Sus scrofa: one gene and its partners. The protein of the gene in region 3 interacts with the protein of the main gene of each other region in a pairwise test. Links are inferred from orthologs where the notes say so. Each region holds a gene or a part of one and is shown on either strand. Other genes may lie near its edges. The genes, in order: PPP1R3D, PPP1R3C and EPM2A.

What was found.
Region 1: the proteins of EPM2A (region 3) and PPP1R3D interact in a two-hybrid assay, tested with the Homo sapiens proteins (2 studies listed by BioGRID, with this or other methods). The link is inferred for Sus scrofa from reciprocal best matches to the Homo sapiens genes EPM2A and PPP1R3D.
Region 2: the proteins of EPM2A (region 3) and PPP1R3C interact in binary tests that used the Homo sapiens proteins (3 or more experiments, as listed by UniProt). The link is inferred for Sus scrofa from reciprocal best matches to the Homo sapiens genes EPM2A and PPP1R3C.

What each region holds. Positions count from the first base shown.
Region 1 is NC_010459.5:59,963,149-59,969,271, forward strand, and holds PPP1R3D (protein phosphatase 1 regulatory subunit 3D), read right to left. Parts: upstream 3,561-6,123; 5' UTR 3,540-3,560; coding exon 2,640-3,539; 3' UTR 412-2,639; downstream 1-411. Other genes in the region: protein FAM217B, read left to right, coding at 3,561-4,129, 5,669-5,780, 5,895-5,980. UniProt on the Homo sapiens protein: Seems to act as a glycogen-targeting subunit for PP1. PP1 is essential for cell division, and participates in the regulation of glycogen metabolism, muscle contractility and protein synthesis.
Region 2 is NC_010456.5:103,275,300-103,281,273, reverse strand, and holds the start of PPP1R3C (protein phosphatase 1 regulatory subunit 3C), read left to right. Parts: upstream 1-2,516; 5' UTR 2,517-3,380; coding exon 3,381-3,394; intron 3,395-5,416; coding exon 5,417-5,974.
Region 3 is NC_010443.5:19,804,044-19,810,182, reverse strand, and holds the start of EPM2A (laforin), read right to left. Parts: upstream 3,403-6,139; coding exon 3,111-3,402; intron 1-3,110. UniProt on the Homo sapiens protein: Plays an important role in preventing glycogen hyperphosphorylation and the formation of insoluble aggregates, via its activity as glycogen phosphatase, and by promoting the ubiquitination of proteins involved in glycogen metabolism via its interaction with the E3 ubiquitin ligase NHLRC1/malin.

The DNA of each region.
Region 1 (6,123 bases), on a different chromosome or scaffold from region 3:
AGCAGAAAAGAGAGGACACAGTGAGTGGTAATTTCCTTTCCCTGGGTTCAAGGCTTTGCAATTGAGTGAGGGTCACAGTCCTGGGAGAGGCAGATGCACACAAATTATTCCATACATGGGATTCAATAAGTACCAAGTACAATAACTATCCCATCCCCTAAGTGCCCCTAAAGCGTTCCTCATATGTAATACTGATCTGGCATAAAAGAGGGTATTTCAGTTTCTCAAACGCAACTGTGTTTCTGAAGCTGAGGTGCCATCATACAATGTATTTATTTTGGCAAGATGCTTAATGTGACAGCATTTTAGGAAGGATATGCGACCTATGTGTGAAATGATTTAAACAATCGACGTTTCTAAAGCCTTGTTTCAGTAATTAGACCACAAGAAAAACACACTTCAACTAACAACTTGTGCGTATATATACTTTAATATTTAGGCTTAGGTGAAGTCATCTTAAAAGCCAGACATTAAAATATGTTTGGGGAGACAACCCAACAATTGCACAAAATTTGAAAAACCAGGCCACATAAGTGTGTTTTCAGGTCTGAAAATCTCCTTAAGCTGTTCCACTGCTCCTTGATCAACTAGGTAGATATGTTTAAGCTTTAACGTTTTTAAATGTTGATCCTTTTTTTCAAAGGCACGTTGAGGTTCTCTTAATATTGAAGATATAACATTTATTTCATACTCTGTGACCAGAACCTTTTTGACACGTGATCTTCAGGTGGATTATAAGCTTCTCTACATGACTTCACAACACATGCGCCAGCACTAGCTCACACCTGAATGCTCTGGACAAGCGCCTTGCACGCTGGGCCAGGATCCAGGGCACAGCAGCCAAGGCCCTCACAGACTTGCTGACCTAACTGGACAGTTAGTTAAATAGCAGGAAATGGAACCAGGCTTCTCTCCCTCTTGCATGCCAATGTAGTACACAGTGCTAAGAGGCAATGACTGTTCAATTTAGTCACAATATTTCAAATAAAAATTCAGTATTTTTAGACCAGAAGTTACCAAAGAAAGTCATCCCTGTTGTTGGAATCAAAACACAAGTTTCAATTATATATATATATATATATATATATATATATATAATCAGTTAAAAGGCAAAACTCATCCTTTACACCTATTTGCCAAATGGCAACAAGCATTCAAAAATTTAGAGTTAATTCACTGGTGACACCTAACACAACATGGATCACATGGTTTCAACTGTACCAGAAGCCAACTTCCAAGTTGGAAACCGTGTCCATCTTAGCTGGGTTTTCACACCTCAGTGCTAGCACCTGCTGTCAGGACTATCACTCAGGACCCAAAAAATCATGAGCCCCTCCCAGAGAGTTTTAAGTCATTGCGGCACCCTGCAGGGGACAAAGGTTTTGACTTCTTGGTTGAAATTTTTTTTTCCTTTTTTTTTTTTTTTTTTTTTTTTACAAAAAGCATTTAATGTTTTAAAACTGGGAAACAAGTTCAGATAATGTAATAAAATTTTCTATCTGAAGGCACAAAGAATACAGTTGGCAGGTAGCTGGTAAAACCAGGCACATACAAATCTAATTTAAAATGATTAAAAAGCATAAATATTTGTGTATTGTTTTTCCTCCAGTGCTCTGTCTATTGCTGAAAATACCTGCTAGTTCCACTCGGTAACGTGTCTTCTGAAAGATGACTGCTGGAACCTTTGACACTTAAGAAGACATAAACAGAGTCACCTTTTATCATCAAAAAGGTAATTGCAAAGGGCATCCTTGCCTGAAATTCTACAGAGTTGCCTAAAAATTGAAATAACTTAAGGCAGAATTTCTTTAAATGTGTAGGTAGTTCAAACCTATACAGAATGGCCTGATAAAGTGCAGATCATAATTATCAAACACATAACAAGAAAAAATACATTAAGTGAGAGGAGAGACTGCAGAAGGGATATCTTGCTAGTTACAAGTTTTAAACATGTTCCTTCTTCTCGGCTGCTGGTGTAGGAGACACACAGCCTAACCAGGGCAGCCTGAACTCCCAGGAATGGTTGTATGATGACGGATGAAGCATAAATTTCTTGCCTATTAATAGTTTCCCGGCTGTTAGAAGCCTACAGATATTGGCAAGCAAATGTGATCTCGGGTTTTCCGTGTCCCGGGTCGGGAATGCCTTGAGGGACCACGATGGGGTCACACTGTGCATGCTGTTTACAGTGAGCACAAACACACAACCGGACGTTTTCTTAGCTTACTAAATCCAGAATATTCCCGAGAAGGCATCCACTCAGGTAAAAGGTCCCAGCATCACAATGATAACAGTAGCTGCATTCACGGAGATCCAATTAGGACACATGCAAAAGCCACAGGCTTTCCCAGCGGGGAGACGCAGGCCTTTCCAAGAACACCCTGGGATGGGCCGACGCACCCATGCATCTACTCACCCAGCACCCCACCCCAGCACAGGCTCGGCCTTCTGGAACCTGAGGCTACTTTTTAGACCATAAACGTTGCAGGTGGGACAGGACAGGCCACTGCCAGCACACCTTGCAGCGGGAAGTGAGCTTCCAGGAGCTCGGGTTGGGGAAGGGGTGTGAGGGAGGAGCACCACCCGGATGCCAGCGTGCTGCTAGGAAGTGCCCGCCGGGGCGGCCTGCGCGCGGAGGCTCAGATGAAGTGGATCCAGCTCTCCTCGCACTCCCCGCGTGGCATGTGCAGGGCGTGGTTTCGGCACGTGAGGCTGTAGTCTCGGCCGTCGTTGTTGTCCCAGTACTCGGCGCCCGCCACGCGGTAGCGCAGCGCGAAGTGCACGCGGGAGCCGAGCGCTAGCAGGAAGGGTGGGACCGGGAAGCCGAAGGCGAAGACGTCCTCGGCGCCCTCAGCGCCCGCCGGCCCGCGCCACCTCGCCCCCGCCTCGTGCGCACTCTGCCAGTCCGAGAAGGTGTAGCGCACGGCCACCTGCTTCTCGAAGGCCACGTTGCGCACGCGCACGGTACCGCTGATGCCCAGGTCCGAGCAGGTGACGCGCTCCAGGCACACGAGCTGCCGCCCCAGGCGCTCTCCGAAATCCGGGGCCTCGACGGGCGGCGGGAAGTCGGGCACCAGGCACTGCAGGGTGAACTCCAGGTCCTGACTGCTGCAGCACAGGTCCGAGTTGATGGCGAGCCGGGACAGCACGTGCAGGGGCACCGACGGGTCGTCGCCCGCGTTGAACACCTTGACCTGCGCCAGCTCCAGGCCCAGCGCGTCGGCGAAGCGCACGCGGTGCTGCCGGCTGCAGCCCGGCCGGCACGCAGCGCCCGGCGCGCCCGCGCCCTTCTGGCGGCGCTCGGGCGAACTGGGCAGCGAGCGCGCCCGCCGCAGGATGATGGGCCGCAGGCGGGGGTCGCAGCCGGACGGCGGCGTTGGTGGCGGCGGCGCGCGGCCCGGGCTACCGGGGGGCCTGCAGGGCCTCGGCTCCGGGGCCGCACCTCCGTACAGGTCCGAGAGGCAGCTGAGGCTCCGCGGGGCGGGCTTCCGGAACGCCGGGGCGGCGGGGGGGACCGCCGAGCCCGGGTCTCCGGACATGGCCCGGCCGGCCGTCGGGCGATGGGGAGGCGGAACCGAGGGGCAGCCTCCCGACCTCGCGTCCGCTTCCTCGGTGTCCCGGGCCGTGCTCAGCCCCCGGGAGTGTCCGCCGGAACTGCACCCTGCAGGACACCCAGTGGGGCCGCCGCGCCCTCCCCTCGTCGGCCACCTCGCCCCTCGGGTCCTCGCCCAGGTCTTCCGCTTTCGGCAGCAAATAAAGAGCCGGTTTCAGGAGATGAGAGCTTCCTCCGGTGGAAGCCTTTCGGGGCCTCCGCGGAGCGCAGGGTGGCGCCTGCCTTCTGCTTCCTCCGAGGTGCCCGGGCCAAGGCGGTGTCCGCCCAGCGGCCCCTCCCACCCCGGGCCGCGGCGTTACTTACATGGCTGCAACTTGTCGGGAGCAACTTCCCGGCGAGCCTCCGCCCCGCCCCTCGTGACGCCGCCCGCGCGCGGACTCCCGCCGCCCGAGCGCCGCCGCCGCCGCCGCCGCCGCCCGCGCCCCTGCCGCAGCACGCCGCAGTCCGGCCTCCCGCCCAGGCGCAGGGAAGGAAGGCCAGCGGCCTCGTCACGTGTCCCGGGCGATCGCGAAACAGGTCTGGTCAATTTCTGTCTGCGTCTGCCTGGCCCGCGCGCCGATCGATCGTAGATCCGCGTCTGCACAAACAGAGGACGAGGAAAACGCATGCTGCGGATCCTCGGATTTCTGGGTTAATGGGGGCGGGGGAGGGGATGCAAAACCTGGCCTTTCCAGGAGCTGGTCTTCAGGGGGATTTTAAGCCTGGCTGGCCAGTTCTTTGGATATTTGCACTACAACCGGGACCCTCGGCCAGAAGGAGCCTGGCTGCGCACAGAAGGTCCTGTCCCCACGTCACCCACAATGCTTTGCCGCCCGGGACCCGCCAGCCCAATCCCTGGGGTGGGAGGGGGCGGTGCTGCTGCAGTGTCTTGGCCCCCTGCCAGAGAGGAAGATGTGGGAACCAGAGTTCATACCCTGCGGTAAATTATGCAGTTGCCCTTAAGCAGCCTCTAGCCAGAATTTATTTTTGTTGCCAGAATCTCCGACTTACAGCTTTGCGAGCCTGAGCATCCTTAGGGACCCTACGGGCGGTCGTCTCTTCTTTCACTCAGTAACTGCACAGAACAGGCCACAGCAGAGGGTATAAAGCTTGCCAGGTGAAATGATGTGAAGATGGAAGTGCACTTTCTAGAGAGCGTTCTAGCGGCTTCCTGTACTGTCCAGAGGGACAAAGCAGAAAGAAAACCAAACTAATGAAGGAGGGTTGGTAACGAACATTTTCTACATCTAAAACCCATCAAGCCGATGACCGTATAATTCATTCACTGGGAGCACCCACCCGTGATTTTCATTACCATCATATGTGCACGGAGTAAAATGACACACCTGCTTATTTGGGAAAATAATACACCAAAGTTTTAGGAAGTAATTAAAAATCTTCTATAACCCCGCCTCTTTTTTCCATTTTTCAGAGGCAGGGATATTATGGAACAAACACACACGGCTTCACGTTCAAATGGGGTGCTTTTAGTACACCACTCAAAATAAGAGCCCAAGAGCAGCCTTGAGTGGTATGAGTCCATATGATATCATAGTATGTGACATGTAATAAGACACTGGTAACCTTTTCATGGATTGATGTGATAGTGAAGGCTAGAGAACTGAGAGGGAGCCTCCCCGGTAGCACTTAAGCTCCATGAGAGCAGGACCTGTGGGTAACCCTGCTGATTCCTAGGCACTCCTGTAATTATTTGTTGAACCAATGATGGAATGAATGAAGGCATGAATAGATGGATGTGGGAACTTTGGAGTAACACATGGCCCTAATTAGCTCCACGAATTTCCTTAGCAGGTTATTTCCAAAGAGACTGTGTACCTCTGTGTGGGGGGCGGGGGGAGATGGATTCCATTTATAGTCCGTGTGATCTTGTATCTGCAACCACTGTGAAAAACAAACAAGCAAAAAAAAGATGGAACTGTAAATAGAAGGCAATATCCCTCCACCAGTTTTCCAGTACAATTTGAATCTTTGGAAACAAACAAGTAAAACCCAACACAGTACTGATGATAAGACCCTTTGCAATCAGTACTTACCGACACTGTCTGTTGCTTCTAGTTCCGGTGGTGAGGCGTCCTTTCCAAATATAAGAGGAATAAAGAAGTCACTTCCTCAGCTGTCATCATCTTCCAACAGATTGAGCAAGAATATTTCGAGCACTGCAGAAAAGGTGATGCAGAACTTTGAAGTAAAATCTTCCTCAGATGTGTTGTTTCTGTTTGTTTGCTGTGTGTGTGTGTGTGTGCGCGCTCGGGGTATTTATGACCACATGTCTGTTTTTTAGACAGTCCGTCAAACCCTAGATGATGATCAGCCGTGTTATTTTTTCAAGAGAGGGAGTAGGGTGAATGAATCTTATCAGAAAAGCAGGTAAATAGTTTTTTCATATAATTGCTTTATCTTGCAAAAGGCACACTATCTCACTTCTCCCAGACGGAGTATGTGTGGTTGGGGGGGTGGAATCCGTGGATAAGGAATAGACACTTGTCCTTCTCGTCCAGCAGAAATGAGTG
Region 2 (5,974 bases), on a different chromosome or scaffold from region 3:
TGAAAAAAAAAGGCAAGGTTGGAGGAAATGAGCTGGCAACCTGGGACCCCTCACCCCAGAGTGTTTTTCTCACAAGGGCCTATCTGGTAATGTTTTGGGTGGAGCTGGAAGAGACCCCTTTGCTTAAGCCACACAATCATCAGCCCCTTACATTGCAGCACCTAACAATGTTCCCTGGGAGTTTAAATTTGGTTTTCTATAATTCATATTGTAGCATTCTCAAAGTCAAGAGGCTGTGGCTCATGAATCCTTGTAACCCCTAACATAGCTAGAGACACCACACAGATCAAGAAGCCCTTATTCGTAGATTTATTGTTAAGATGGGAAGGGCAAAGCAATATTTGGATGCTATCAAACCACAGTTGGATAAAACCTACAAATCATAATAAAATTCCACACAGTTTCTAATGTACTGTGTCTTCAATGGTGTAACACCCAGCTAAGAATTAAGATTCTATTCCAGTCCCTCTCATCCCATAATGATGGGCAGTAAAAGCTAGGAGGGAGATAGAAATGAGGGGGCTGATTCTACTAGATGAAATAAGTCAGAGAAAGACAAATACTGTATGATCTCAACTATATGTGGAATCCAAGAAAGCTGAACTCGTGGAAACAGACAGTAGAATGACGGTTACCAGGGGTTGGGGGTGGAGTGGGGCAATGCGGTACCAAGAGTACAAAGTTCAAGTGCTCTAATTGCAACATGGTTAATAATACTGTATTATACACTTGGAAGCTGCTGAGAGAGTATACCTTAAATGTTTGCACCACAGAAAAGAAATGATAATTATATGACGTGATGGAGGCTTTAGCCAGCACTGTGGTTGTAATCATTTTGCAATATGTAAGCGTACCAAATCAATTCCTTGTACATTATAAACTTACATAATGTCATATGGCAATTACATCTCAATAAATCTGCGGGGGGGGAGTGGGGAAGAAATGAGAGGTCTGTATCATGCAATTTATTGAGGCTCGCCCTTTCTTGGAAAGAGCCCTGTTCCCCTGAATTCTATTTTGAGTTTGGAGAGGTGACTTTTATGGCATTAGTCAGCACCAGGGGGCAGAAGAGATAGCAGCTTGAATGGAAAGAAGCCCAAACTCAAAAGGTCTCTGTGAGTCAAGGCAGGAAGCATGTGAAAGCTTCCAATACCGTTCCTGGAATTGGAAAGTCTTAAGTTATTTAAAAGTGGTTTCTCAACTACAGAAGAAGTCCATGTTCATTGTAGAAAAATTTAAAAAGACAAAAAACAAAATAACAAAGAAAAATTTACTTACTCAAAATCTCACCATCCAAAAGTAAGCACTGTTAACGTTTTGGTAGAGCATATTCTATTTTCTATGTGTGCACATCTTACCACTAAAACAAGATCACAATACTTTTTTTTTTGTTTGTTTTTTTGTCTTTAGGGGGCTGTACTGGTGGCATATGGAGATTCCCAGGCTAGAGGTCTAATTGGAGCTGTTGCTGCTGCCTATGCCAGAGCCACAGCAACACCAGATCTGAGCCGCGTCTGTGACCTACACCACAGCTCATGGCAATGCGGGACCCCCAATCCACGAAGTGAGGCCAGGGATCGAACCCACAACCTCATGGTTCCTACTCAGACTCATTTCCACTGTGCCATGACAGGAACTCCAGGATCACAACACATTCTTACTTTATGTTTCCCCATAACTTTAATTCGTAATAGCCACTCTTTAGCTCAACATAGGATTGTGAGTAGAGGAGAAAAAACCTCAACTCAGTGTCCTAGTTTTGACTCTGACCTAACCAGCCCCTGGCAAGCAGCTCAGCTTCTCTAAGCTTTAGATGCCTCATCTGTGAAATAAAGCCTCTGAAGCCAGTGATACCTAAGGTGCCTTCCTTTTTTTACCATTCTAATCATTGAGAAGTACTTAAAGGAAATGTTAGCAGAGTAAAAACTAAAACTGAAGGCAAGGGCACTTACTTGAGAGCCACCACAGGTTGAACACACACCAGTCACTATGCTGAGTTTTCCCACCCATACAATTTCATTTAATTATCAGAACAACTTCACTATCTCCATTTTACAGGTGAAGGAGTTGATGCTAGAACTTGCCTAGACTCCAGTGTCAAAGACCGTGTCCCTTCAGTTAGTTTTGGTTGGGCTGAGAGGCCAGCAGATCTGCTCTGAGGTGGATGTTTCCTTTCAAAAAAAATCAAGCCCAAGCATTAAGTACCTTCCCCAGGGCTATTTAGCATGAGTTTCCTTTTCTTTAATAACTCCACTAACAATTCTACTGTTTGAGAGTGATTTAAAAGACACAGAGATTTTTGTACATTTTACATTGTACATTTTGTACATTTTAGAGGACTACTGGATAACTAAGAGAGCAGAAAAAGGACAGGGGTTTTATAAAAATAATTTAAACTCGACTTAGAAATACAATTTTATGGTTGTAACTGATGGTCGAAAACCCCCCCAAACTAAACAAAATTACGAAACCTCAGAGAGGGTAATTGGCTTGGGAGAGTCATGAAACTCGCAGTGTGATATTTTAACATTTTGGTTTTCACATCACTGCCAGAGGACATCAGAACAGAATTGAGGGATTTGGATTGACCACTGGTTTTGTGGCTGACTGGCCGCATGAGCGAAAAAGAAAGCCATTTCATTCCTGGCTTTAGTTTTCTCTTCCAGGGAGAAAAACTGAAGAAATGGTCGCAATACAAAGTGTCTTTTAATTAAATGCTGCCTTACTGTCTTATAGGGTTAATATGGTTTATTAACACTGGTTAGATAGGCAGTCTATTTGTGGGTTCACGTTAACACCAAGATGTGACCGACTGCTCAGGCCAAGGAGAGGGAGAAGATGAGCTGATGCACCAAGCAATGAACAAGATAAAAATTTCAAATACAAATGCATTTGGAACGAGCCACAACGTTCTGCACTAAGATTTTACCGTGCACAGAAGCCTTTAGAAGCGAAAGGGATCTCTTTGCGCCGCAGTCCCGCGGTGCTGGCGCCCGGCCCGGGGGAGGGTTTAGGGCTTTCTCTTCTGGCTTGCACCCGCTACGTGCGCCACGGGGTTGCCTCCGCGGCCCCTCGCCCGGGGTTCGCGTTACGCGGCTCGGGCCAGCTGTCCCAGGGGTACCCCGGCGCCCGCGCTTCCCGCACTACCGCAGTCACGTCCACGGGGCCGGGGCTCGAGTCCCAGCTGAACGCTGGTTGGTCGCGCCCTCGAGCTCGCGGCCTGGTGATTGGTCCCAGCCGTTGGCTCACGTGGTCGGGAGCAGATAAGCGGCCTCTCGGGCGCCGCACCCACAATCCGCCAGAGCTGCCGCCCAGTGGGTACCGCGGGGAGCCTGGTGCGAAATTACGCAGGTAGTGGAGTGCCGCCGCCCCTCTGCCTGATGAGCTGCACCAGGTAGGTTCCCTGCAGACTCTCCGCCTGGGCTCCGAGAGAGCGCGCAGCTGGGGGGAGGTTGGGCTGCGTTTTCCTTCCGTCATCACTGCAAATGGAGAACCCAGGAGAGGGCAAGTAGACTGACTGCTGGCACCGGGGATAACTCCAAGGAGTGGAGATTTCCCATGTGCTTTTTAGGCAGAGCTGGTGTTGGTAAATGGCATCTTAAACCAGAAACTGTCCTAACGTGAGTCAGCTTTAGTTCAGATTCCGTAAGGGATTCTGACCGCATCTTTTTTGTCCCGCACAAATGCCTCAAGGACTAGGACAGCTTAGCTCGTGGGTACAGCGCTCTGAGACTGCTGGTTGGATTGTTTAGCTTTGGGGAAAAACTGCAGGACGATGTTTGCACTCCTGGGTGTTCAGCTCTTCTTATGACGGTTTGCCATAGCAAACTCGGCCTCAGAGTGTGAGCAAATGATTATTTTTTTTAACTCTTGAGTAGGACTTAAAGTTTCAGAGAAATCGCCATATTCAAAAACTGTCTTTCTATAGGTGCAAAAAGTGAAAATACGAAACAGGATCCCCGAAAGAAAGAAAGACAGGAAAAAACCTCCCTCAAACTATTTAAATAGCTTCTCCAGGCATAACTTAGCAGAAGACTTCTCTAAAAATCCTGCCTGTTAACTATTATTAGACCCACAAATGTAGCTTTCCTCTTTCATTTGTTTGTTCTAAGTTTGTAGGTCTCCCAGAAAAAAACCCAGGATTAATAAAGTAAATTCTCTGAGTGTTCTTTTATTATCCATTTTATGACCGAGACCATTTGCCTATATGCTTAGAACTGCTGCTGGCTTACTAAAGCCAGATTGAAGTCACATAATATCCATGCACCTCTTATCTGAAGGTAAAAAATGTCCATAAGCTTGGCAATATATTCTCAGGGCTAAAGGCCAGAAAAAATACTCTTCTTGATGGACACTTCTTTAGAATAGTTTAAATTTTTAAATAGTTTTTGTTTAAATTTTTAAATAATTTTATCTTTCTGGTTATAAATAGCCATTGCCAAAACATTGGAAAATACCAAAAAAGTACAAAGGTAAAAACAGGTCATATATCACCCAGAGATAATGAACTTTTTTTTTATGTTTCCTATTAAACTTTTCAATATGTGTAAGTTCACATATATGGCATATATTAAAAACGGCCTAATTTTCAGGTCACCAGGTTTTTTTCCTCTTATATGTGGACTTGACATGGGTGTCTTTCTGTGTGAAATACAGATTATATAAAGTTTTTTCCTTAAGTGCACAAATTGCTGACTTGCCCTTGAGCTAGTTATCTATGTAAAATGAGGAAGAGCATGATAATGAAAGTGCAATGGTAATCCTCTGATTCACTCTTTCTAGCCTCTCACTCTCAAAACTATTCCATGAGAATTTTTACTGCTCTTTTTCTCTTTTCAGGCAGATGACTGTGCCAGAGAAGTGTAATCAATTCAATAGCAAAATGATCAAAAGCCAAGGGAACATGGTCTGGAACTATGGTTCTAGAACCTATCTGGTCACTAGATCACCCGAGAAGCTTTAAGAAAATATATACCCCCTTGTCCCCATCCCCAGAGGTTCTGCATTAATGGCATTAAGCCCCAAGATTCTGCATTAAAGAAAAAGGAAGAAAATCAACTCCTTAGGCCATTGTGACCAGACAGGTTTGAGAACCACTGGTCCAGAGCAAAGAAAATAGTCTTAGAGCTGTGTTAGAGGCGATCCCACCCAAAACTTTGGTTTCTCAAATGGGGAAACTGAGACCCCAGCTCTTTTAAGCAGTTAACCCATGGCCTTGAGCCAGTGAGGGGTAGAGCCAAACATAAAATTCAGCTCTCATCCCTTCGTACTGTGTTCCTTTCCTACACGAGATAGCACCTCCTTGTTACTGTGCTGGCTAGAATTTCACCAGTACAAAAATAGTACATGCATATCTGGGCCCGGGGCAAGTGCATTCCAGGTCCAGATAGTAACCCCTCTTCTTTTTGTATTCCAGAATGATCCAGGTTTTAGATCCACGGCCTTTGACAAGTTCAGTCATGCCCGTGGATGTGGCCATGAGACTCTGCTTGGCTCACTCACCACCTCTGAAGAGTTTCCTGGGCCCTTATGATGACTTCCAACGAAGAAATTTTGTGAACAAATTAAAGCCTCTGAAGCCGTGTCTCAACATGAAACAGGAAGCCAAATCACAGAATGATTGGAAGCCTTCGCACAACCAAGCCAAGAAGCGGGTGGTGTTCGCTGACTCCAAGGGCCTCTCCCTCACCGCCATTCACGTCTTCTCAGACCTCCCGGAAGAGCCAGTGTGGGATCTCCAGTTTGACCTCTTGGACCTTAATGATATCTCCTCGGGCTTAAAACGCCACGAAGAGAAGAACTTGATTTTAGATTTCCCTCAGCCCTCAGCTGATTACTTAAGTTTTCGAAACCACTTCCAGAAGAACTTTGTCTGCCTGGAGAACTGCTCTTTGCAAGAGCGAATGGTGACGGGGACTGTGAAGGTGAAAAATGTGAGCTTTGAGAAGAAGGTTCAGATCCGGATCACTTTTGA
Region 3 (6,139 bases):
AAAAAGCAAGGAATTTGTATTCATCAAATACTGAAATTCAGCTAGGAAATTTTGAGGACCATTGTGCTGTTTCTGTTTTTTAAAAATGTAACTAGAGGAGTTCCCGTCGTGACTTAGCGGAAGGGAATCTGACTAGTATCCATGAGGATACAGGTTCGATCCCTGGCCTCTCTCAGTGGGTGAGGGATCCAGCGTTGCCATGAGCTGTGGTGTAGGTCACAGATGTGGCTTGAATCTGGTGTTGCTGTGGCTGTGGTGTAAGCCAGCAGCTACAGGTCGAATTCGACCTCTAGCCTGGGAACCTCCATATGCCACGAGTGAGGACCTAAAAAGACAAAAAAAAAAAAAAAAGTAACTAGAAATTTAAAAACAAGGCATAGAAGAACATCACCACCTAAATATAATGTAAAATGAACTCTGGCATTATTTTAAATAAAATTCAAGCATGATTTATAGTGTAAGGGAATTATTGTTATTTTTGCTATTATGATTAGGAAATAATTACTACAACATCATGTTGTGCAAATAGACTCATAAAAAAGGAAATATAATTCTGTGATATGAAACCTGTGTACCAGAAGGAAAGGCTCTCATCCCTCACACTATAAATCATGCTCAATTTAAAAAAAACAAACTAACACTTATTAAACACTTAATGTATGTCCTATTCTAAGTTCGTAAGATTTATTAGCCAGTCTAGTCCTTTCAACAACAGCACGACAGTGTTAAGTGACTTGCCCAAGGTCACACCCTTGGTAAAGTTAGGCTTTCTGGCTCTAGAATCCTTGCTCTTAAACATTGGCTCTGCCAATTCTCATAATGCTCTTTGTTAACGCACAATTCTCATAAACCTACCAACCTAAAACAAGAATTCTTAGTAACCTTTGTAAAATAGAATATAAATGATGTAGAAATTAATGTAGAAATAATGATTAACCAAAGTAAGAAAAGCAATGTGTAGATGGGCTATTTTCCTTATTCTTTTATATAGGAGTAACTTTCTAGATAATGGAAGTATAACAGAATTTTCTAGATAATGAAAAGTCAAAAGTCAACTACATATATATAATTTCAAATAATAATATAACCCAGCAGGGAGGAGAGAGAGAATGCACTTCAGCTAAATTCCTCATTTCCTAGCAATTATGGTGGTTACCTAGAAGAGTACACAGTAGCTGTCAACAGATATCGCCTAATTTTAATCAACATATAACATACAAGTTATATGGTAGCTCTCAGAAAACCTAAAACCAAAAGAAATTAAAGATGATATATTCAGAAATAGCGACCTAAGCAAATTATTCAGCATTTCGGGAGGAATATCAGAAAAACTAAACATAGAAAAGGAAGGGGACTGGGGAAAGGGAAGATCTTTGTTTTTAACCATCTTAAGCTTTTTGTTTGGCTGGTTGGTTGTTTTGTTTTGGTTTTGTTTTTTAGGGCTGCACCTGCGGCCTATGGAAGTTCCCAGGCTAGGGGTGGAGTTACTACACCACAGCCACAGGGGATCCGCTTCCGTGACCTACACCACAGCTCATGGAAACACCAGACCGCTGAACCACTGAGCAAGGCCAGAGATGGAACCTGCATCCTCATGGATACTAGTCAGATTCGTTTCTGCTGTGCCACAACGGGGAACTCCTATTTTAATTTTTATTAAAATGATTAGGTATTACTTTATTATGAAAGACAATTTCATAATGGTATTATAAACATAATACATTATTAATATAATAGTAATATCATATAAAGAAGGGCATAACCAATGAGAGTATCTGTCGCTTCTGGCATGGTAATACAAAAGGACAGTAAATGCCACCAGACCATAAAACTCAGTGCGGGCACGAAGAGAGGAACAAGTATAATACATAAACATACTACAGAACACTCATGCTCTTTGCTGATTCTTTGTTCCCACATCATTATGGACTAAATGGCCGCTTTTATCACATAAACTTCTAGAGACATTTCATCTGCTGTACACAACTACTGAGCCATAAACATTCAAATCCCCTACTTTGAACATTTAAAGAAATGGGTGTGGGTGGGGTCTAAATTCATACATCGCGGGCAGGCGTCTACATGGGCATAACCTTTTTCACGGACTAACCTGGTAGTCCGTATCGAAATGGTTACACGTTGACCTAACAATTTCACTTCTCAGAATCTACCCTAGAGCGACTTGCCCAAATACTCAAAAATAACTCTATACACGGACTTTCAATTAAGCTATTACTGTTTATCACAGAGGAAAACGGAAAACAACCTAAATGCACATCGGAAGATGCAGGATATTTTGTTGCCATTTTAAAAATTAAATAATATCTATATGGAGTGACACTAAAAGGTACAACGCGTTGTTGAGCAAGAAAAAGCAAGACAGAGAATCGTAAGTTATACAATTTGTGCGTGAAACATAAATCCACACTGTTCAGCGGGTTTAGGGTATGCGGAGGAAACAAGTTTTTTACTTTGTACATGTAAATTTTTACTTTGTTTTCTTACAGCCAGCATGCACTGTTTTTATATTTTAAGAAACCAGAGCATATCTCAACTGTCAAATGAGATTTTAAAAACATCCAAAAAGAGAAAGGCTCAACGTCTTTCCATTAGCTCACTCTCAAATTTAAGGGGTGGGGGGAGTAGCATGTTGCTGTTTAGGGCTAGTGGAAAGGCTAGCTTCACTGATGAGGTCATTTGTGAGTGAATTAGGGCAAGAAAATGAGGGCACAGAGACAAGGCGGAGTTGAGGAGCGAACCCAGGAGCAGCCGGGGTTCAAGCAGCCCAGGGACCGGCCCAGAGAGGACGCGGAGGGAGCAGCGGGGCCGAGGCCCGGGCTGCGGGGTCCGGGCAGTGTGGGAAGGAGATCAGAGGGGCAAAGATCGAGGGGCGGGAGGCCAGAAACACAACCTCAGCCCAGGGAATCGGTCGGGAGCTGGCGGCGACAGCTGGGCGGGCAGAGAAGGGTCAGCCCGGGGCGCCCGGGAAGTTCTGGCGACTAGCGAAGCCCGAGAGCCGGGCAAGTGCCCAGGAGGCCGCAGCAGGGACTGTGGGGCTTGCCCCAGGCCGAGGCTGAGGCTGGGGTGCAGGTCGACTTAGCGCCCAGTACCTTCCCAGGAGAGCGCTCCTCCCTGCTCGCGCTTCAGGAACTTGTACCAGAACGTGTCCACGCGGCCCGGCTCCGCCCCGTCCTGCGCCGCCTCCAGCTCCACCTCCCCGAGCCACAGGCCCGGCTCCTGCAGCGCCAGCGCCCCCGGGCCCGCCGCGGTACCCGCCGGCCTCAGGCGCACGGCCCCGCACGGCTCCCAGTGCCCCAGCTCCGGCCGAGAGCCCACGACCAGCAGCTCCGGCCCGGGCCCGGCTACCGCGGGCGGCACCACCACCCCGAAGCGGAACCGCATGGCGGCGGGCGGGCGGCGCGGCTCCAGGTCCCAGTGCCCCTGTGACCCGCGGACGCGGCGATTGGGCGGCGGCGCGCGAGGCCTGGACGCGAGAGGATCGGGCGCCGGCGGGGACACGTGCGATGCTGCACCTTTTTTGGGCTGCATCACGCGGCTCAGGAGCCCGGGCCTGGTCCAGGCGGGAGCCTCGCCACCCGCCTCTCTGGGAGAAGGAGGCTGGCTCCCGTCCGCTGCCTCTTCCACCGGCTCCAAGGGCGCCTGGGGACGCGGCGAAAGCAAGGAGAACGGGGTTGGAAAAGGAAACATCTCATAAGCCTTGAGATTTTCCAATCATCTTTCCAAAGACTCGAAATTATCATTGTGAGGACCTTAAGACAAAGTGAATGGCATGTAGAAAGCAACCTCCACAGTAGTGAAGTTGGTTTAAGATCCTGCATCTGTATCTGGAGAGCTTTGCACCTTACACGGGTCACTTTCTCTCTCTGGGTCTCAGTCTTATCTGTAAACTGAAGGTATTAAATAATGATTTCTAAAGACCCTGTCAGCTCTAAAGATTGCTTGACTGGTGGAAGGGGCGCCATTCAGAACCAAGAGCTGATACAAAAACACAGTATTTTCCCTTGCCAGGACCAGTGTGATGCCTGACACGACACATGATCACTTTCTTTTTTGGAAAAACTATTAGGGGTATTTGTAGTAGGTGTAAAGTGGATTTAGAGTAAGAATGTTCAAGCCTTTCCAAGGTAAAACAAAACCAAAAAAAATGGTAATTCTGTGGCCATAAATATAAATGACTTCATAATTTTTAAATGGCATAACATAAAACTTTTTGCTCTCAGTAAAAGTCAGCATCTTTCTTTTCAACTTAAAACTTTTGTGTGCCCAGAAAACACAGGCTTATAGCTATTCGGTCAAATGAAAACTATATGGAGTGGGGGACTTAGGGGGGTGCCCTTTAATTTTTGTCACTGCCTTAAGAAAACCAACTGTCCTGTTTACTTGTTACTTTTTAATTCTTTATTAAAGTTGCTCTTGTGGTCGCCTTAACATTTCTGTGTTTACCAGGGCTTAACTCTCTTTTGCGAACTAAAGATACACAGAGATACTTTTTTTCCAGTATTTGAAGGCTTGTGAATAGTGGGGGGGGGCACCAAACTTTCATGCATTCATAAATAAAACAGAAAGAAGTACCAAAATGTAAGCCATACAAACTCAGTCTCTCTGTGGAACAATTAGTAAACTATTAATACATTTCACTTCTAAATATTGATAATTCCACTCTGTGTTTGGTTAGTTGCTAAGCTTAAGGATAAGCACAAAGAAAAATGAGGCCGGCAGGGCTGGCCAAGTACAGCTGATTCAATAGCAAAGCAGACATTAAATCACAGTGGAAAGTGAGTCAGTTTATTCAGACTACTATTTCAAAATATTCTCACAGTAATTTTAGAAAAGTAAGAGTCCTTTGGCCACGCAAGTGCCCTGGAAGCTGACAGTACAGAACTTTCTTGTGTTCTACCATGCTGCCTGTGTTGTGTACTTTTCAAATGGCATTATTCCCACCAGCTCTTCCAAGGGGAGTACTGCCTATTCTGCAGATGAAACAATAACAAATCCCCCAAAAATATATTTGTTCAACAGACATTATTTCCTTTTCTCCTTTCCCCTCATAAAGAGGTTGAGTAATTTTTTTTTTTTTTTTTTTTTTTTTTTGTCTTTTTGCTATTTCTTTGGGCTGATCCCGCGGCATATGGAGGTTCCCAGGCTAGGGGTCTAATCGGAGCTGTAGCCACCGGCCTAGGCCAGAGCCACAGCAACACGGGATCCGAGCCGCGTCTGCAACCTACACCACAGCTCAGCGCAACGCCGGATCGGTAACCCACTGAGCAAGGGCAGGGACCAAACCCGCAACCTCATGGTTCCTAGTCGGATTCGTTAACCACTGCGCCACGAACTCCAGGTTGAGTAATTTTAACAGTTGAAAGCACTCTTTTAAACCCCTAGACAAAATATATGGGCTTATTTTATTGCATGGATTTAAATATAATACAAATGTGCTGACTACTTTGTGCCCCAAGCAAAATGCAATTGGAAAGAGAAAAATATCAAAATATGGATTAAAAGATATTTCAAAGTCAATTGTACTTGGTCAATTATTTGAAATCACTAACCATAATAATTAAAATAGCTACTGAGCTCTTTTAATGTGCCAGACAAATGGTTTTCATATTCACATTACCTCATTTTTCTCTCACCAATTCTATAACTGCAATTATCATATCCATTTTTATATGTGTGGAAACAGGCAAGAAAATTTCAGCAAATAGCCCACAGCAAGGAAGGGGCAGAGTCAGGTGATAAAATACATCCACTCAGCTTACAGTTAAAGATATAACATAACATTACATAATGTAGCATAATATTTGATTTCTGATAAAGAAATCATTTATAGAATGCATTTAAATCCTAGCATATTTAAATAAGTTATTTTCCATTAGTTCTTAATAAAGATGAAATTTCTATAATTATTCCTGTAAATAACTTCATGCTTAGGAATAATAGAACAGATGAGTCACACATGGCAGTCTAAATAGGTCAATGAGTCTGTAAAGACATAGATATTTTTGTATTTAAAATGGATTTAATCTCCTAGAAATGGTAAGTTTTATGCCCTAATATGTGTACCTTGTTGATGAAAAAAAAATTACCAATTATTAAGCTGTGTTATTTCCAGCTCTTT